Linked DNA regions of Macaca fascicularis. Each later gene encodes a partner of the first gene's protein in a complex. Links are inferred from orthologs where the notes say so. Each region holds a gene or a part of one and is shown in the gene's direction. Other genes may lie near its edges. The genes, in order: DRC1, DRC3, DRC12 and DRC9.

Region 1 (4,937 bases):
GGTGAGCACTTGCACCCATGGCCAGTGGGAGCATAAACCATAGATTGCTCTTTGGAAAGCAACTTACTGAGAACTTTTGACTTAGTCATTTCACTTCTACGAATCTACCATAAGGAAACAAATTACCCCAAGAATTGTATATATAATTTGTCCCAGCATTATTTTATAGTAAAGAAAATTATTAAAAAGTATATATAACTATATATACACACACACACACAACTGTAGAGAAATGGTAAATTATTATGACATGGTAAACATATTAAATATTTCATATATGATAAAACAGCATAGTATATGAAAGTATTCTAGCCTGTAATCCCAGCGCTTTGGGAAGTCGAGGCAGGCGGATCACCTGAGGTCGGGAGTTTGAGACAAGCCTGGCCAACATGGTGAAACCCCATCTCTACTAAAAATACAAAAATTAGCCGGGCGTGGTGGTGGCACATGCCTGTAATTCCAGCTACTTGGGAGGCTGAGGCAGGAGAATCATTTGAACGCGGAAAGTGGAGGTTGCAGTGAGCCGAGATCATGCCACTGTACTCCAGCCTGGGTGAGCGAGACTCTACCTCAAAAAAAAAAAAAAAAAAAAGGATTCTGTACTATTAAAATGATGTTAATAAAACTTTGCTAACCTGAAAAATTGTTGTTGTGATATTAAGGGAGGAAATTAGGATATAAAATTGTAGACATAGTTTGATTCCAACTATGTAAAGGACACTGGGGGGAAACATGCCAGCATTAACAGAAGTTGCCTTTGGGGGTGGAATTTTGGGTAGCCTTGCAACTTCTTTCTCCTATGTCTTCTTTTTCATTTGCTGTACTTTCCAAATTTTCTACAATGAGCAAATATTGCTTTTGCACTCAGGAAGAGTTTTTACAAAGAAAAATGTATAACTAGAAAGGGTAAATAAAAAATAAGTAAGTAGAGAAATTGAGAGGTAGGATTAGTTATGATCTCAGGGACTCATATGGTTCTTCATTCACCATCTGTTAAAAGATATTACAGGCTTCTGTTCTGAAGGAGACATTCAAATACTCATCTCATAATGGAGATTTAAAAATCCCTGCGGTGGTGATGTAGAATATTCTTGACTAATTCCCCCATGACAATGTGTGTGGGAATCACCGGATTCCACAGCAACCATGGAAATGATGTGCTTCCTGACCCAATGGAGCGTCACCTCCTAGCCAGGAGCCCTCCTGGAGTATGACCCAGAGTGGGCTGTGATAGCTGCTTGGAATCACTTCCTCTGTTGACTCCTGGGCCAGAGTCTGTAGCCTAACAGAGGGAGACGGGACAGAGGCTGGAGACAGCACGCACGTGGCAGTTTTATCGAGTTTCTGATTCCACTTGATTGCCTTCCCCATTCCTGCATTTCACTCGGGAGAGGCAGGAGCATGCCAGCCTCCAGCCTTGCCTCTCTCTGATCTTTTTTTCACAACCTGTCAGGGTGATCTTTCTACAGTGACTGGACCAACCATTTTCCTTCCCTGCTTAACATTTTTAGTGGTCCTCCCTTGACTTCAGGATAATGCTTTAAATTCCTAGCTTGGGAAGGCTCTGCTGCTCTGTCAGCCTCATTTCTGACCATTCCTTGCCTCGTGCCTCATATCCTAAACTTCTTGTGGTTTTCCCAAAGCCTCATATATGCTATTTCCTCTCTCTAGAGTGCTCTCCCTTCCGGTGTCACCTGTGTAACTCCAGCACATTCTCTAGGTCTCAGCTAGACACACCATCTTCCAGGGATGATTTCCCTGGTCCCTCAAGACCAAGGACAGTGCTCTTGTCATTGGTCCCATAATGGTCTGGGCTTCCCTCTATCTTGCCTCTTACCCCTAGCGTTTATCTGCCTCTGTTCTAGACGGGTCAGGACTATGCCTTTCTCACTGGTGTTTTCGCAACGGCACCTCGAAAAGTATCTCACACAGATTAGGCACACAATAAGTATTTGCTGAATGAATGAATACAGCTAATGGAAATCCAAAAAGTAAGGATGACTGTGTCTGTCCTTTTAAATGAACCTGGGTTGCTAAACACTAACACTTCCACCCTGGAAGGTCAAAGTGGGGGAAATTTCAAGTTTTTGTGGCCGTATTTATTTCTATGGTGTTTTTAGCGGGGCTACTCATATCTGAAGGGTCTGGAGAAAGTTACCAGAGTTAGTTGGACTTGAAAGCTCTGTGATCTTTCTTAGGCGTTAGGTATACAGATTTTAGTTTACAGTTCATTGACTTGTATTTTATCTGGTTGACCTTTAACTTGACTCTCATGATAGATTTTCTAAGAATGCAGGCTGAGGCACTTGTCCCTAAGGTTCCTCTGACATGACTTGAACAATTTATCAGAAGCCTACAAGCTAGGGCCAACTAGTGTGTGAAAATATATATATATTTGTATTTCAGAGCATACCTTTATTTGTGTACAATTTTAGGTATAATTCACAGGGCAGATAAGCTTATAAATGTAGGAAAGTTTATTTTTGTATACTTCCAGTATAAACTTCTACCAATACTTTTACCTCTTTATTCTTTATGAATGTAGGTACAAAGATAAATACATCTGAATATGGAGATGCATAGTTAGGTAAATAAACATACATAAGCAGGACTATGTAAGTATATCTATGTAAATATTTACCTATACAAAGCATGTTCCCCAAAAGACATTTTAAATACGCTAGTGTATATAATACTAAGGATGCAGGTGTAGAGTTAGTGTGTGTGTATATATACACATATACATAGATATATATATAGTTTTTTTTAAATTTTAGATTCTTGAGCAGCAGCTTCAGCAGAGGAAAGCAATTTATCAACTAAACCAAGAGAAATTAGAGTACAACTTGCAGGTGCTGAAGAAGAGAGATGAAGAAAGCACAGTGATTAAATCCCAGCAGAAGAGGAAGATCAATCGGTAAGCTAGCATGCAGAGCGTCTTTCTTCTGGGCTCTCTGTGCTGAGAATAGGGATGGATATGTACTTTTTTCTATTGAAGGGGTAGAAACCATTAAAAATATAACCAACACTTATTAAAATAGTTTTTTGGAGAAGTTAATACATTCAAGTGGTTCCCCTTCTCTCCCTAAGAAAAGAGAACATAGCAAAAGATTTTCCATCCCCATTCATCTTGTTCCTCTTTCCCACCTCTATAACCAGTTTGCCTCTTCCAGAATTTCATTAGGCATATACAAGCCCACACAAATATTCTCATCCCCCATCTGCTTTTACGCAAATGATGGCAGTCTGTACACACTGCCGTGTATCTTGAAGACCTTTCCATCCCAGTTCATGGAGAGCTTTTACCGTTTGTTAAGCTGCTACGACCCACTGTATAGATACACTATGATTTATTTGACCAGTGTCTAATGATGGACATGTAGATTGCTTCCAGCCTTTTTCCCTTGCAAATAATACCAACCTAAGTACTCATGACATGTGCCAGTTTGCTTTTGTGGAGATACCATGGCTCATTGAAAGGTACCTATTGCTTGAAATTTCTCACACATCTTCCCTTCTTCCTTGTCTCCTTAGTCCCATCCTTCCTGCCTTTCTTCCTTTAGGAATTGCATTCTAAGTTTCAGACCACTGTGTTAGGCTCTGAGGACCAGAGTGGAATAAGATTTCTTGCTTGTAGAAGGAGACAAGATTGAGGATTTCCCTCCAAACCCCAAATAGCCTATTATTATTTATGAATTCTTCCACTTGTGGGTTGGTAATACATACATTTTGGACACATGTTGAATGTATAGACGAACATCAGTTGACATTTTGGTAGTTACTTATCACAGAAAATGATACTGAATAAATGGGATGGCATCTTAAGCCTGATTATCTGAGAAACAAGAATAGTCAGGGGACAATATTTATGAAAAAATTCCCACTATATAAGCCCTATACTAGATAGGGGAACATCCAAGAAAGACACACATCAATACAGTGAGGAGGCACCTGGGAAAACTTCCCAAAGAAGTGAAATACTGGAGGGGGTGGGGACATGAACTGGCAAAAGGCAGTTAACAGGAGACTCCAGGTGGACAGTGCTGGCAGCTGGGAATGGCTGGTCTGAAGGCAAGGAGGTAGGATTCAGAAAGTCCCACAGTGGGTGTAGAGAACGGGTAAGGTGGGAGGCGGGAGGAGGCGCTTGAGGCAGAGCTTGGGTTTGATGCGTGTGGCTGAGAGATGAGTGGAATCTTCCCTCTTATTTCAAACTCAGACATCTTTCCCTCAGCCTGAAAAACCCTTCAACGGACCCTGCCATTTCTAAGCACCATCTTTTCATTTCTTGCTTTCATTGCCATTTTCCTTTCCTCCTCATCACCACCCAACATTTCATAATTTGACATATCTGTTTGTGCTGCTATAACAGACTACCTGAGACTGGATAATTTACAAAGACGAGTTTATTTCTCACAGTTCTGGAGCCTGGGAAGGCCAAGATCAAGGCTGGCAGGTTCAGTTTCTAGTGAGGGCTGTATCTTTCAGAGGGGAGGGACGCTGTGTCCTCACTCAGCAGAAGAATGGGAGAGCAAGCTGGCCTAAGGCTTTGGGAGGCCTGTTTTATAAGGGCCTTAATCCCATAATCCCATTCATGACGGGGGAGCCCTCATGGCCTCATTACCTCTTAAAGGCCCCACCTCTTAATATTATCACATTGACAACACTGAATTTTGGAGGAGTTACATTCAAGCCATAGCAATCTATGACCCCAGGATTGTACAAAAACTTCCCAAAGTAGGATACCAATGATGCCCTTCTAGCCAAACGTAGTGACTTCTCCTCAGGCCTCATCCTATTATGATTGGATACTGGGTTTTCTTCTTCGGTTTAAGTGACCCTAAAATATTTGCCCTTCTTTCTTAATTTATTTGTTTCCTTTGGTGGTTCTGCTTTTCCTTGCTTGATATGTCTTGAGTATCTAGATAAGGTAATCTAGA
Region 2 (4,849 bases), on another chromosome or scaffold:
CTATCATATGATCCAGCAATCTCACTACTGAGCATTTATCCAAAGGAAAGGAAATCACTATATTGCAAAGATATCTGCACCCATGTTTACTGCAGCACTGTTTGCAACAGCAAGATACATAATCAATCTAGGTGTCCAACAACAGATGACGGGATAAAGAAAATGTGGTACATATACACAATGGAATACTATTCAGCCATAAAAAAGAATGAAATCCTGTCATTCATGGCAACATGAAATAAGCCGGGAACAGAAGTTAAACACCTCATATTCTCACTCATATGCCGAAGCTAAAAAAGTTGATCTCATAGAAGTAAAAAGAAGAACAGAGGCTTCTAGAGACTGGGAAGGGTAGGGGGATGAAGGAATAGGGAGAGATTTGTTAAAGGATATACCAAATTACAGCTAGATAGGAGGACTAAGTTCTAGTGTTCTATACCACTATAGGATGACTACAGTTGACAATAATATATTATAGTTTCAAATAGCTAGAAGTAGGATATTGAATGTTCTCAACACAAAGAAATGATAAATGTTTGAGACAGATATGCTAATACCCTGATCTGATCACTATATATGATAAGTGTAGAAACATCAGTATGTACCCCATCAATATGAACAATTATTAGTCAATTTTTTTAAATGCCAATTTTTTTTTTCTGAGGTGGAGTTTCACTTTTGCTGCCCAGGCTGGAGTGCAAGGGTGCGATCTTGGCTCACTGCAACCTTGGCCTCCCGGGTTCAAGTTATCCTCCTGCCTTAGCCTCCCGAGTAGCTGGGATTACAGGTGCCCACCATCACACCCAGCTAATTTTTGTATTTTCAGTAGAGATGGGGTTTCACCATATTGGCCAGGCTAGTCTTGAACTCCTGACTTCAGGTGATCTGCCCACCTCGGCCTCCCAAAGTGCTGGGATTACAGGCATGAGCCACTGCGCCTGGCCAATGCCAACACTGTTTAAACAAAGAAGTTGCTTTGAAAGAAGTGTGTCTTTACAGCCACAAGGACCACAGAGCAGGGCAACACCTCAAAAAAGATTCAGGAATACCTGTTTGCATAGTCCCTGCCTCCACCCTAGGCTTTCAACCTGCAGAAACTGGAGAGGGATCTGGAATATTCTACCCATAAAAACTATTCTAAGAGGGAAAATTGAAGTAGCCACCACTCTAGGCCACCCAAAGTCCAGAAACAACTTGTAACTTACATCTCAAAATAATTCCCTTAAACCCAGTTTCCTTTTATTTGCATTTTACAAATGTCACACTGTTTTTCATAACCAATTCTAATCATGTATCTTTCTAAGCAGACTTCAGTTTCTGTTGCTTCTCACAGCTTTTGAAGCTGTTTTCTACATATTCAAACTCTGAGGGGGATGATTTCTCTGCCTGGCTAAAAGCTCCACTATGACCCACTTTTTAGGATGAAGGATGAAAACCTTTTCGTGATGGGTTGACACTGTGGTTGTAGTTATCTCTAAAATAACCAGAACACTCATTTCTAAGCACACTGCCAACGCTCACCGAAAATAGGCTTTACACACCTTTGAACCATTCCCAGAGCCTGGCCTGGGACCTTGTACACACATGGAAAGAACTTAATGATTTCTTGACATTTCTCCCTTGTGACTGTGCTAATTGGTCCCCCAGACACCCCATTCCACATATCAGCTAACCTGGCTTTTCCCACTGGGATTCTGTGGAAAATCAGCATCCCACAAGACATTAACAGGCATTACTCTGAAGTCTGTGGCCAAAAAAGTTGAAAAACCAAGAGAGACAAAGCTTAAAGGGTTTATTTTCCACAGGACTTTGTAGAGCCTCTGGAATACTTTGTGCTCTGCAAATCTTCAGGAGGGGCCTGGGGGTGCTGGCTTTCCCAAATGTGTTTGACCAAAGAATACTTTTTTTGGTAGAAATATTAACATAAGATTCCACAGAACATGTTTTAGAGACCGTTAACTGCCACTACAGGGAAGAACAAAAAGTGTACATTCCACTTGCAAGTCCTCCCTGCAATACAGAGCATTCACGTGCTCTTCCTTACCAAACGCCTCTGCTTCAAGGTGGAAGCAACTGCTTACTGAGTGCTTCGGTGGCCTTGCCCTGCTCTGGGCATTTCCACCATCCCAGGCAACGACAGCCACAGTGTCAACACCTGGAACCAGTGAGGCCTATTAGAGGGTGGTTGTTTCTAACAACTTTTTACAAGACAGCAAAGTCAGGAACAAGAGAAGGCAGAAGGAGACCCCAGATGGAATCCATGGTTTGGTTTTGTTGACATGAGTGGCAGTGGAGAGACAACTGTGGGGTGAACACCCATCAGTTTATAGGGCCTGCTGTCTTCAGAGCAGCCCCAAGACCCTCAGCCAGTCTCATGCTTCCACCCAGCAGGCAGAGGTTTTGGGCAAGTCAGACTTGAGAGTAACTGAGAGAGAAGCATTGTGAGAACAGATGTCCTGGGTGAGGTGCCCCCTGGGCAGCCATCTGCCTTCACCCTGGAGGAAACATGCTTCCAGCGGGGACTGCAGAGTAACACCCTGGTTGGCCCTTTCCCCTCAACACCTGCCCTGCGCGGTTGGGGAGGCAGCTGTCACAGATGAATTCACAGATGAATCGGCAGAGTGCGCTGATACAAAGGTGAGCTCTGCTCTGAGTGTGGCCTGCACAGCCAGGGGACTTCCAAATGCTCCTTTTCTATTCAGCTCTCTTTGTGTTCAGGGTGTAATGACACACATGTTCTCATTGGATTCTTTTCACTCACCAGCTTTTTGTCGATAAAGATACGATTGTTAATGCTGTCGGGGCATCGCACGACATCCACCTTCTGAAGATTGACAATCGAGAAGATGAGCTGGTGACCAGAATCAACTCCTGGTGTACACGTTTAGTAGACAAGGTGAGTCAATGCCAAGCCATCCTAGCAGGTTGGACAAATTTTTCTAGCTGACATGGAAATCCTCCCTAGGTAGCGGATAGAATTCTCATTTAGGAATGAAATGAAAGAAGAAATAAAATTAAGGATTATAGAACTCCACACTGAAGACAAGGTTGCCCAGAGACTTTAAAACCCATGGGCTTCGGCCAGGCGCGGTGGCTCACGCCTGTAATCCCAGCACTTTGGGAGGCCGAGGCAGGCAGATCACGAGGTCAGGAGATCAAGAACATCCTGGCTAACACGGTGAAACCCCATCTCTACTAAAAATACAAAAAATTAGCTGGGCATGGTGGCGGGCGCCTATGGTCCCAGCTACTCGGGAGGCTGAAGCAGGAGAATGGCGTGAACCTAGGAGGTGGAGCTTGCAGTGAGCCAAGGTCGTGCCACTGCACTCCAGCCTGGGTGACAAAGTAAGACTCCATCTCAAAAAAAACACAAAACCCATGGGCTTCATCATTTTCCTAACTCCTACTTCAAATACACAGAGATCAGCAGAACCTGGGGAGGCGCCGAAGCAAATGCGGAGGTTTGCAGATCTCAAGGAACTATTTTCCCCTTCCCTCAAACTGGACTCAGTGAAAGATATTAACCAATGATCTGATGTAAGGTATCGGGCTTTGGTTTCACTCCTCAGATTCACAAGGATGAGATCATGAGAAACCGTAAGCGCGTAAAGGAGATCAATCAGTACATCGACCACATGCAGAGCGAACTGGACAACCTGGAATATAGCGACATCCTAGACTAGATGAGTGTCAGCCACAGGAGCTTCTTCAAAACATAGCACCAGCCCTAACCAAGAGAAGGAAGTGCACATGCCTCACCGAGCACCTCAGGAGAGTTGCTGGGCATCTCTCAACTACGATCCCCCACACCATTCTTGCCCCACCCCTGGAAAAACTTCCAAAAGTAGAGAAAATAAAGGACTCATGTCACATTTCCCCTATTCATTAAAAAAAAAAAAAAAAATCAGCTGGGCACTGTGGCTCACGCCTGTAATCCCAGCACTTTGGGAGGCCGAGGCATGCAGATCACGAGGTCAGGAGTTCAAGACCAGCCTGACCAACATGATGAAACCTCGTCTCTACTAAAAATACAAAAATTAGCCGGACATGGTAGCGTGTGCCTGTAATCCCAGCTACTCAGGAGGCTGAGACAGGACAATCGCTTGAACCTGGGAGGTGGAGGTCTCAGTGAGCCAAGATTGCACCACTGCACTCCAGCCTGGGCAGCAGAGCGAGACTTTGTCTCAAAAAAAAGAAAAAAAAAAAGGCCGGGCGCGGTGGCTCAAGCCTGTAATCCCAGCACTTTGGGAGGCCGAGACGGGCAGATCACAAGGTCAGGAGATCGAGACCATCCTGGCTAACCCGGTGAAACCCCGTCACTACTAAAAATACAAAAAACTAGCCGGGTGAGGTGGCGGGCACCTGTAGTCCCAGCTACTCGGGAGGCTGAGGCAGGAGAATGCCGTGAACCCGGGAGGCGGAGCTTGCAGTGAGCTGAGATCCGGCCACTGCACTCCAGCCTGGGTGACAGAGCAAGACTCCGTCTCAAAAGAAAAACAAAAACAAAAACAAAAACAAAAAACAAAAAAATCAGAATTCATGTTCATGTAGGAACAGGAGAAAGAGTTTGAGATGAACAGCCGGTCCCAGGCCAGCTGACAGAGTGACTCCCAAGGGCACTGCCATCAGCTAGACTCTTGGCTGTGGCATAAAGTCAGACATGTGCCCCTGCCGTTTCTCCTGCCATGCCTAGGCAGGCTGCTGGCCACAGGCAAAAGGAGGCCAGTGTGGGCTGAGACCTTCTCTGCTCTGGGTGCTGAGGGGCAGCAATGCAGGAGAGGCTGCAGCTCCCACCACAGTGTGGGGGCCTGGGCCTGCCCACCAAGGCTGAGGTTAGTCACAGGGACCT
Region 3 (5,521 bases), on another chromosome or scaffold:
AGAGAATTGCTTGAACCCAGGAGGTGGAGGTTGCAGTGAGCCGAGATCACATCACTGTACTCCAGCCTGGTGACAGAACAAGACTCTGTCTGAAAAAAAAAGATAGCCTGGTGCAGTGGCTCACGCCTGTAATCCAAGAAACTTGGGAGGCCAAGGCAGGCAGATCACTTGAGGCCAGGAGTTCAAGACCATGCTGGCCAATATGGTAAACCCCGTCTCTACAAAAAATATAAAAATTAGCCAGGTGTGGTGGCATGCGCCTATAGTCCCGGCTACTCAGGAGGTTGAGGTGGGAAGATCACCAGAGCCTGGAGAGGCTGAGGCTGCAGTGAGCCGTGATCATGCCACTGCACTCCAGCCTGGGTGACAGAGAGAGACACTGAGAAAAAAAAAATGCCAGGCGCGGTGGCTCACGCCTGTAATCCCAGAATTTTGGGAGGCCGAGGCGGGTGGATCACGAGGTCAGGAGATCGAGTCCATCCTGGCTAACACAGTGAAACCCCATCTCTACTAAAAATACAAAAAAATTAGCGGGGCGTGGTGGTGGATGCCTGCAGTCGCAGCATGAACCCGGGAGGTGGAGCTTGCAGTGAGCCGAGATCGTGCCACTGCACTCCAGCCTGGGCAACAGAGCGAGACGCTGTCTCAAAACAAAAACAAAAACAAAACAAACAAACAAAAAACCTAAAGAAACGGTCTGCAGGTCCCCTAATCCAAAAGGAGAAAAGCCCTGAAGTGTCTGCTGTTTTCACTCTAACCAGTATGGTGCCCAGAGATCCAAGTGGCAGATAGATGGCAAGCCTCAGGATAGCACAGAGCTGCAGGGAGAGTGAAGGCTGCCTGACAAGGGAGGGCCACCTGTCATACTCTCTCCCCCACATTAATTATTCCAGCCACTCCTGGCTCCAGCAGGACACTAAGAAGTATCCCCAAAGGGAGTCACCCCCAGTATTGCCCAGTAAATAATTTAAAAGCAAAAATGTGGGAAACTCAGGAGAAGGTCAAACAAGTCCACTAGAGGGAGCCCCAACCAACTCTATGCTGCAGGGAGCCTCACAAAGCAATGTCTCAACACCTGTCTGAAAATCAACCACACAAGGGAATGGGGAAATGTAGCAATAGATTAAGTAACTAGGAGAGAAGATAGCCATGTAAACACCTAGCTAAAACACAGGCTTTTCAAGAGCTACAAAATCAAACATTTAAAGATCAGGAAACTGATGCTGAGCAAAGTCAAATGGCTTGCCTCAGTTTACATATCCACAGTTGGGACTCAAACTCAAATGTCTTGTCTCTAACCTGAGCACTTTCCTGCACACTTGCATCCCTCTAGGTCAGTACCCTAGAGTCCATGGGTCTGCTGTTCCTTTGTGTCTCATTTCTCTGAAGTGGGAAACGCCCTCGACTACCTATTCCTGTACTTATTACCCTCATTCCACAGTGTACTGAAGAGGATCTTCAGTGGTTTGGGGTTTTTGTTTGTTTGTTTGTTTGTTTGTTTGAGACAGGGTCTCCCTCTGTCATCCAGGCTGGAGTGCAGTGGTGCAATCATAGCTCACTGCTGCCTCAACCTCCCAGGCTCAAGTGGTTCTCCTGCTTCAGCCTCCCGAGTAGCTGAGACTAACAGGTGTGCACCACCCTGCCAGGCTAATTTTTTAATTTTTTGTAGAAATGAGGTCTCACTGTGTTGTCCAGGCTGGTCTTGAACTCCTGGCCTCAAGTAATCCTCCTGCCTCAGCTTCTGAAAATGTTGGGATTATAGGCATGAGCCACCGCCCCCAGCTTAGATCTTCAGTTTTAAACCTACTAATGTCATTTTGCTGATGGGACCTCGGGATGTCAATTGTCCAACATGGCTACTGTCAGTCCTTTTCCTCTGTATCAGCACAACATATTATCTCAGATGTGTACATCTGAATTTGGAAGTCTCCAAATTGCAGGCCATGTCTACGTGGCAATGAATCATAACCAATCGGCCTCCAAAGCCCTTTCTTTTCAAACTATACTTAGGGTTTTGGGATAAGGAAAGAACTGACCCTTTGAGACCTTGATATTTTAAGCTTTGTGAGCTGATTTAGCCCATTCCACCTTCCTACCAACTCCATGTTTCCCAGTTGCCTGGACAACATACAGCCTCCCGAAACCCAACCTTCCAGCCCTCAGTCCTGCCCTCAAGAGAAATTTGCCACCAAGGATTGGCTCCCAGGACCCAGGCCCCGCCTCAGGCTCCTCGCTAGTTGGGCCTTCTCTCTGCCACTCCCCACGGGTGGGTCACTCCACAGGGAGCCCCAACACTGGCAGGAGAGGATCCTACAGGTAGGAAGAGGGGGTTGAGGATGATGGGAAGAGGGAGGGGAGCAGGTACAGGGATTTATCTAAAAGAGAGTTGTGAGGAGTGACTTCCGTACAGTCAGCCTGGTTGAGAGAAAAAACTTCACCCTCCCCGTTGACCCCAACCCTGCCTGAGGTTCCAAAGAGACTGTGAACTGACTTTTCTGAAGAGTATGAGATGCAAATTTGGAGTAGAACCAGGAGACTCCCCTGAGACTCCTGATTCAGTCAGGAAAGCATCCCTGTGTCCAGACCTAAACATAAGGTCCCCTCCTTCTCCCAGGACAGCAAGGAGATGCCACTTAAAAACAAAGAAAAAGGGAAGAAATCTGGGGCGCAGAAGAAAAAGAACTGGGGTGAGTCATGGTGGGTGGAGGTGCCCCCTGCTTCTCCATGTTCTGGCATGAAGACCACGCAGAGCTCCTCCAGAGAGAATTCAGCCTTCTACATGACAGGATGGAACTCTCTTGACCTTCCTCTTTCGTGTCCTTGAAGTCAGATGCAGGGAGCTGAGGAAGTGGGGAAATGGTCACTCACGCTGTCCTTTAAGCACCATCTAGCTTTGTGCCTTCCTAATATATTTGTCATGTGTATTTTGCATATCTGTTATGTGCTGGTTGGTAAGGACACAGTGCTGACTTCAGTAGACTCTGCCACCATGGATCCCTCATTTAGTGGTCCTCAGGTCTCCTGTGGCAAAAGTGCAGGGTGTGGGGCGAGGACGCAAGGAGAGTGAGGAATGCTGAGATCACGAAGAGCTGAGGCTCTGCCACTTGCCACAGCAGGTGCAGATGTGGAGGCTGAGTCCAGGCACAGGCTGGTGGTGCTGGAGAAGGAGCTGCTCCGAGACCACTTGGGTAAGGAGGGTAGAAGTTGGCATGGGGGTGGGCAACAGGGCAAGTGAAATGGGGCATTTCTGTATCCTGGGGGATTGGAGAGTTGGAGATACAGTGGGGGGCTAAGTTGAACCCTAACCATCCCCTAGTGGAAAAAGACAATGAGAGAGGGGTGGGCAGTGAGAGTTGATAAAGGAAGCTTTTTTTTTTTTTAGACAGAATCTTGCTCTATTGCCCAGGCTGGACTGCAGTGGTGTGATCATAGCTCACTGTAATCTCAAACTCCTGGACCCCAACAATCTTCCCACCTCAGCTTCACGAGTAGCTGGTGCACACCACCCTACCTAGCTACTTTATTTATTTATTTATTTATTTTTCTTTTTTAAAATTTATTTTATTTTATTATTTCATTTTATTTTATTTTACTATCTTTTTTTTTAAGACAGAGTCCTGTGCTCTGTTGCCCAGGCTGGAGTGCAGTGGCGCGATCTTGGCTCACTGCAACCTCTGCCTCCCAGGCTCAAGTGATTCCCCTGCCTCGGCCTCCCAAGTAGCTGGGATTACAGGCACACAGCCACCACACCCGGCTAATTTTTGTATTCTTATTAGAGACAGGTTTTCACCATGTTGGCCAAGCTGGTCTCGAACTCTTGACCTCATGATCCTCCCACCTTGGCCTCCCAAAGTGCTGGGATTACAGGCATGAGCCACTGCGCCTGGCCCTATTTATTTTTCTTATAGAGACAAGGTCTCACTCTGTTGCCCAGGCAGGTCTCAAACTCCTGGCCTCAAGCAATTCTCCCACCTAAGCCCCCCAAAATATTGGGATTACAGGCATGAGCCACCATGCCGGGCTATCCGGAAAGCTATTTTGTATAGGCAGAACATGGAGAGAGTCTTTACTTCTTAATAATGAGGAGCCTGTGAGACTCTAGGGATAAAAAACAAAAACAACAAAACCCAGAGAGAGAATAAGAGGCTGGACGCCCCGCCACCAGATTTCTAGAGACGGGCAAAATTCATCAAGTTCATGGGGGCTGATTTAGCGGGCCCCAGCCAGTCCTGACAGTGGCTCTGGGACTGCTCACAGCTGTACGGAGGGATGAAGCCCGTCGAGCCAAGGCTTCCGAAGACCAGCTGAAGCAGAGGCTGCAAAGGGTGGAGGCTGAGCTGGAAGGGGCCCGAAGTGAAGGGAAGGCCATATATGCAGGTGTGTGGTCTGTTGAGCAGGTGGGCAGGAGACAGGGGCCTGGAGGAAGACAACCAGCAGGGTCAGATGATGCAAGGAAGGGAAACAAGGAGGGCTTCCAACTGCCAGGCCTGGTCTTGGTCTTCCCCGAACAGTACAAATCAGGCAGGATCCTGCAGGAATCAAAGGCAGGTAGGTTCCTGGGATCCCAGGCAGGGGCCTGCCAGGATGCCTGGTGCCATGTGCTTGATGCTGTGTAGGATACACATGCAGTCATAGCCATCACCTCAACCATCCTATGGGAGGGGAGAAGGACTAGCATCCCCATCCAAAGCTGGACGGTGGGGGAGGTGGGTTGGGCTTCCTTTCCCTTCCTCAGGTTTTCATGGTCTCTAGCTTCTCAGAATCACAAAAAGAACCAAGAAGACCATGGGCCGGGAGTGGTGGCTCACACCTGTAATCCCAGCACTTTGGGAGGCCGAGGCGGGCGGATCACGAGGTCAGGAGATCGAGACCATCCTGGCTAACATGGTGAAACTCCGTCTCTACTAAAAATGCAAAAAATTAGCCGGGTGTGGTGGCAGGTGCCTGTAGTCCCAGCTACTCGGGAGACTGAGGCAGGAGAAGGGGGTGAACCCGGGAGGCGGAGCTTGCAGTGAGCCAAGATCGCACCACTGCACTCCAGCCTGGGCGACAGAGCGAGACCCCGTCTCAAAAAAAAAAAAAAGAAAAAGAAAAAGAAGAACCAAGAAGGCCTTTGTGCTCCTGTTCCACTAGACCAAGTAGAGTCTTCCCCACCCACAACTTCATTTCCTTTCTCCATCGCTCCATCTCCGACCTGGGTCCCTGGCGGCCTACTGCCCCCACCCCAGAGATGAGTCGCCAGTGCCATGCCCTGCAGGAGGATATGCAATCCCGCAGCAAGCAGCTGGAGGAAGAAGTCAAGGGCCTTCGGGGGCAGCTAGGTAGGTTTCCCCATCCCCCAAGCCCCTTGTCTCCAAGAGTTGCAGCAAGGGCCAGCATGAAGGGGCAGACTTCAAAGTCTCTGCTCCAGAAAGCTGCCACCTGGGCTCTGGGATCACTTTCCCCACTTTCACTGACCCTCCACCACCGAGGACTGGAGCAGAGGGTTCGGGATGCCAAGAATCTCTGTTGTAAGTAAAGA
Region 4 (4,937 bases), on another chromosome or scaffold:
AGAAACCCCCGTCTATACTAAAAATACAAAATTAGCCGGGCGTGATGGCACGTGCCTGTAATCCCAGCTACACCACAGGAGGCTGAGGCAGGAAAATCACTTGAACCCGGGAGACAGAGGTTGCAGTGAGCCGAGATCACGCCATTGCACTCCAGCCTAGGCAAGAAGAGCAAAACTCCATCTTAAAAAAAAAGAAAGATATTCTGCTTAATACGATGCTGCTTCCTCCTAAAACTGCCCCTGCATCAGGAAATCTGGCTAGTTTGAAGTATTTTTTCAAATTTATAGGAAGATTCTGTTTTATATGTTTGAATTTTTGCGTATCAGATTTTTGTTGCAAGAGTCATATTTGCACCACCTCTCTCAGAGTTACTTTATTGTGGACGAATTTACATTGGAAACTCACACTCACTGTCCATTCAGCACAACACAAAATTCTCCACAGGTGTTCTCACTGCAAAGCTCATTTAAGCAGAAAGGATTCTGGTGCACTCTGGAGGGGTAGCATCTTGACAGCCGTGTCAAACTGATTCCGATTTCCAGGATTAATATAGTTTTTCTTTCTTCCTTTTTTTTTTTTTTTTGAGACGGAGTCTCGCTCTGTCCCCCAGGCTGGAGTGCAGTGGTGCAATCTCGGCTCACTGCAAGCTCCACCTCCCGGGTTCACGCCATTCTCCTGCTTCAGCCTCCCGAGTAGCTGGGACTACAGGCGCCCGCCACCATGCCTGGCTAATTTTTTGCATTTTTTAGTAGAGACGGGGTTTCACCATGTTGGCCAGGATGGTCTCGATCTCCTGACCTTGTGATCCACCCGCCTCGGCCTCCCAAAGTGCTGGGATTCCAGGCGTGAGCCACCGCACCCGGCCCCAATTAATACAGTTTTTCTAAATGTCATCTCAATTATTCCTCTAAGCACACGTGGAGCAAATTCCGTTATCTGGCGGATAAGATGGATTGAGTGATCTAATTAAATGTTAGAGTAATTAGAATCATAGAAAAAATCAAGTATATAGAGATTACCAATTAAAATTGTGATACCATGGAACACTCTAAAACCAGGTTGAACATTAATTTACCTTAAGAAGAGGCCCACAGAGTGCATGTGTCTTGAGTTTGGTAGAGCAGTAAGAATTCGGTCAACTTCTTCATAGACCTGCGGTCCGTGATGTCGATGTTTCTTTCGCCTCTGAGACTGCTCCACTCTGCACAAAGAGGTGACAGTCACAGCTCCCGTAATCATTTAATTTTCTCTGAATAAAATGATATTGAAATAACTGAAACATCATTGAAGACTTGCATAAACTAATCTCAGTGTTTCCTTCCCATTTTAGGTAGCCGCACTTCTGTGAGATTATAAATATTCCACGGAGGGTAACGGAACTACGGGAGAATGGAAGAGTATGTTTACAATTCCTATGTTTTTTGTATACATGTATTTAAATTATGCCTTCTGTGAAAGGTCTGTGTATACCTTATCTACTGCTGTGTGACAGATCACCCCAGAACTTAGTGACTTAAAATACAAACATTTATTCTTTCCCACAGTTTCTGCAGGTCCCAAGGTTAGGAGCAGGTTAGCTGGATGGTGCTGGCTTGGGGTCTCTCCTGCACGTGAAGTTGGCCACGGGTGGCAATGATGGCAATGATCTGAAGACCTGATGGGGGCTGGAGTATCCACTGCCAAGGTGGTTCATTGACAGAGCTGGCAAGTTGGTGCAGGCTGCCGGCAAGAGGCCTTTGTTCCTTTCCCTCATGGGTGTGTCCACAGTGCTGCTGAAATGTCCTCATGTCGAAGCAGCTGTCATCCCTCACACTGAGAGGTTTGAGAGAGGAAGGCAGAAGCTGCGATGTCTTTTATCACTTAGCCGTGGAAGTCCCACTCCGTCATTGCCACAATAACCTTCCGGTTACATAGGCTGGTCCTACTCAGTGTGGCGTAGACTACACAGAAGCATTAATACTAGAAAGTGAGAATCATTTGGGCCACCTTGGAGGCTGGATACCACATTCTGTTTTTCACTCATCAGGAGACACTTTTGGTTAGCATCTAAAGATACTCCTAGGGAAAAAAAGTTAATTTTGGCTCAAATTCAAATTGATCAGCATAGCCAAATTGCATGAGCTACATAGCTTTATTAAACAGTAGGTCAGGTGTGGTGGCTCACACCTGTAATCCCAGCACTTTGGGAGGCTGAGCTGGGTGGATCACCTGAGGTTGGGACTTCAAGACCAACCTGACCAACATGGAGAAAGCCCGTCTCTACTAAAAACACAAAGTTAGCCGGGTGTGGTGGCGGGCGCCTGTAGTCCCAGCTACTCAGGAGGCTGAGGCAGAAGAATCGCTTGAACCTGGGAGGCAGAGCTTGCGGTGAGCTGAGATCACGCCATTGCACTCCAGCCTGGGCAACAAGAGCGAAACTCCGTCTCAAAAAAAGGAAAAAAAAAAAAAGTAAGTTGTTTGCCTTTGGTTGGTCAAAATGGAAGATATTTAGCAGAATCACACTCAAACTCCTACTTTTTTTTTTTTTAATCTAGGTTATATTATATGACAACAAGAATATCACAGGAGCCCAGCACATTGCTGCCTGTACTTTTGAGTTAAAGTAATGTTTAAATATTGGTCGCTGACTTATTTTTTCTTTATTCTTTCCTTAGAGACAGCCTGGAAGACTCAAACCTTCCTCCAAAAGTTTGGCATTCTGAGATGACAGTGTCAGTGACAGGCAAACCACCTAGTACCGTAGAAGAAGACGGACTACCTAAAGAAACAGACGTAGAAACCATCCCAGAAATCCTAGAAACCCGAGAGCCACTCTCGCTTCCAGATGTGCTGAGGATCTCGGCAGTTCTGGAGGACACCACAGACCAGCTCTCTATTCTAAACTACATCATGCCCATTCAGTACGAAGGAAGACAGAGCGTCTGCATGGTATTTACCCGCTCACGATGAGACTATGAGTTACTTTTGCTTTATTTTTTATTTCTCCCTCATTTATAGTACCTATCTCATTAAATGTATTGATTTATCTTTCTCTCTCTCTTTCCTTCTTCTTTTTTTTTTTTTTTTTTTTCTGACAGGGTCTCGCTCTGTGGCCTAGCCTGGAGTGTAGGGGTGCTGTCACGGCTGACTGCGACCTTTACCTCCCAGGCTCAAGTGATCCTCCCACCTCAGTCTCCTGGGTAGCTGGGACTACAGGTCTGCACTACCACACCTGGCTAATTTTTTATAAAAGTTCTGTAGAGATGGGATCTCACTGTGTTGTCCAGGCTGGTGCCATTAAATATCACTTGGGAAATAGCACCTTTATTTCAGATAAAGGGCTACACTACCTATCTGAGATATGTACTCTCAATTGATGGAGTGAAATGGTCATGACTGAAGGTACATTACCGGACAGAATATCCTTTTCCACTATGTTGGCATTATCCAAAAAGGCCTGTACGGAAATCAGTATAAGTACAATACCGAAGAGAGGGAATGACTAAGCCGTCCGCGCAGCTTGTGTTTCTCAGCTGCTGAACCCTAACTGAACACTAGGGGGAGGAAGTTCAGCTCCGGCCTTCACTTCGCTTTAATCTAAAATGACTTGTCATTGGTGAATACGTTGTAACTTGCCTTCCTGAATATCCAGCCGCATTACTGTGTCAGCCATTACATTTTCTTTTTTTTTTTTTTTTTTTTTTTTTGAGACGGAGTCTCGCTCTATGGCCCAGGCTGGAGTGCAGTGGCCGGATCTCAGCTCACTGCAAGCTCCGCCTCCCGGGTTCACGCCATTCTCCGGCCTCAGCCTCCCGAGTAGCTGGGACCACAGGCGCCGCCACCTCGCCCGGCTAGTTTTTTGTATTTTTTAGTAGAGACGGGGTTTCACCGTGTTAGCCAGGATGGTCTCGATCTCCTGACCTCGTGATCCGCCCGTCTCGGCCTCCCAAAGTGCTGGGACCACAGGCGCCGCCACCGCGCCCGGCTAGTGTTTTGTATTTTTAGCAGAGACGGGGTTTCACCTGGTTAGCCAAGCCCTTACATTTTCAATCGTGTTTTGGACTGCTCTGTGAAGCAGCACTGAGTTATTAGAAAATTAATTTAGTAGTGAGCAAAGTCTTTATACATGTTTAGCTCTTGTACATTTCAATAACTTAGGTTGTAGGTATAAAATGGAAACAATTTACAAATAGAAATACATATTTATCAAGTTTTACATAATAGCATTATATAACTTGTGCAGAAGATACTCTTTTTTATTTTTATTTTTTTTATTTTTATTTTTTTGAGACGGAGTTTCGCTCTTCTTGCCCAGGCTGGAGTGTCTGGGCTCACGGCAACCTCCGCCTCCTGGGTTCAAGCGATTCTCCTGCCTCAGCCTCCCGAGTAGCTGGGATTACAGGCCTGCACCACCACACCCAACTAATTTTGTATTTTTAGTAGAGATGGGGTTTCTCCATGTTAGTCAGGCTGGTCTTGAACTCCCAACCTCAAGTGATCTGCCCGCCTCGGCCTCCCAAAGTGCTGAGATTACAGGCGTGAGCCACCGCACCCGGCCCAGAAGATATTCTTATGTCTGATTCTATGACCAATGAAAATTGCTACATAAATGAGAGGGTAAAATGCTTTTCTTTTTTTTTGTTTTGTTTTGTTTTGTTTTTGATTTTCATGTCTAACAGTAAAGAAGTCTATATTTATCGAGAGAAGAAAATTACATTTCCCTTTACTTTTCCATTAAAATTTCAAATTTTTAAAATTATTATTGTTACACATACAGTCTGGGTTCTTAAAGCTTTCATTAAAGTTTTAAAAGTTTAGATAAGATTTTATAGAGCAAGCCGGGCACGGTGGCTCAAGCCTGTAATCCCAGCACTTTGGGAGGCTGAGACGGGCGGATCACAAGGTCAGGAGATCGAGACCATCCCGGCTAACACGGTGAAACCCCGTCTCTCCTAAA

Evidence for each region.
Region 2: DRC1 (region 1) and DRC3 share a complex: the UniProt entries of both Homo sapiens proteins name them as parts of the nexin-dynein regulatory complex. The link is inferred for Macaca fascicularis from reciprocal best matches to the Homo sapiens genes DRC1 and DRC3.
Region 3: DRC1 (region 1) and DRC12 share a complex: the UniProt entries of both Homo sapiens proteins name them as parts of the nexin-dynein regulatory complex. The link is inferred for Macaca fascicularis from reciprocal best matches to the Homo sapiens genes DRC1 and DRC12.
Region 4: DRC1 (region 1) and DRC9 share a complex: the UniProt entries of both Homo sapiens proteins name them as parts of the nexin-dynein regulatory complex. The link is inferred for Macaca fascicularis from reciprocal best matches to the Homo sapiens genes DRC1 and DRC9.

What each region holds. Positions count from the first base shown.
Region 1 is NC_088387.1:95,804,090-95,809,026, reverse strand, and holds part of DRC1 (dynein regulatory complex protein 1), read left to right. Parts: intron 1-2,777; coding exon 2,778-2,917; intron 2,918-4,937. UniProt on the Homo sapiens protein: Component of the nexin-dynein regulatory complex (N-DRC) a key regulator of ciliary/flagellar motility which maintains the alignment and integrity of the distal axoneme and regulates microtubule sliding in motile axonemes.
Region 2 is NC_088390.1:18,127,983-18,132,831, forward strand, and holds the end of DRC3 (dynein regulatory complex subunit 3), read left to right. Parts: intron 1-1,775; exon of another isoform or gene 1,776-2,764; coding exon 2,765-2,896; exon of another isoform or gene 2,897-2,901; coding exon of another isoform or gene 2,902-2,961; intron 2,962-3,420; coding exon of another isoform or gene 3,421-3,531; exon of another isoform or gene 3,532-3,569; coding exon 3,570-3,683; 3' UTR 3,684-3,872; downstream 3,873-4,849. UniProt on the Homo sapiens protein: Component of the nexin-dynein regulatory complex (N-DRC) a key regulator of ciliary/flagellar motility which maintains the alignment and integrity of the distal axoneme and regulates microtubule sliding in motile axonemes.
Region 3 is NC_088388.1:118,065,990-118,071,510, reverse strand, and holds the start of DRC12 (dynein regulatory complex protein 12), read left to right. Parts: upstream 1-2,273; 5' UTR 2,274-2,316; intron 2,317-2,614; 5' UTR 2,615-2,626; coding exon 2,627-2,687; intron 2,688-3,113; coding exon 3,114-3,188; intron 3,189-4,257; coding exon 4,258-4,377; intron 4,378-5,228; coding exon 5,229-5,321; intron 5,322-5,521. UniProt on the Homo sapiens protein: Component of the nexin-dynein regulatory complex (N-DRC), a key regulator of ciliary/flagellar motility which maintains the alignment and integrity of the distal axoneme and regulates microtubule sliding in motile axonemes.
Region 4 is NC_088376.1:894,827-899,763, forward strand, and holds part of DRC9 (dynein regulatory complex protein 9), read left to right. Parts: intron 1-1,331; 5' UTR 1,332-1,390; coding exon 1,391-1,398; intron 1,399-1,545; exon of another isoform or gene 1,546-2,039; intron 2,040-2,655; coding exon 2,656-2,929; intron 2,930-4,937. UniProt on the Homo sapiens protein: Component of the nexin-dynein regulatory complex (N-DRC), a key regulator of ciliary/flagellar motility which maintains the alignment and integrity of the distal axoneme and regulates microtubule sliding in motile axonemes.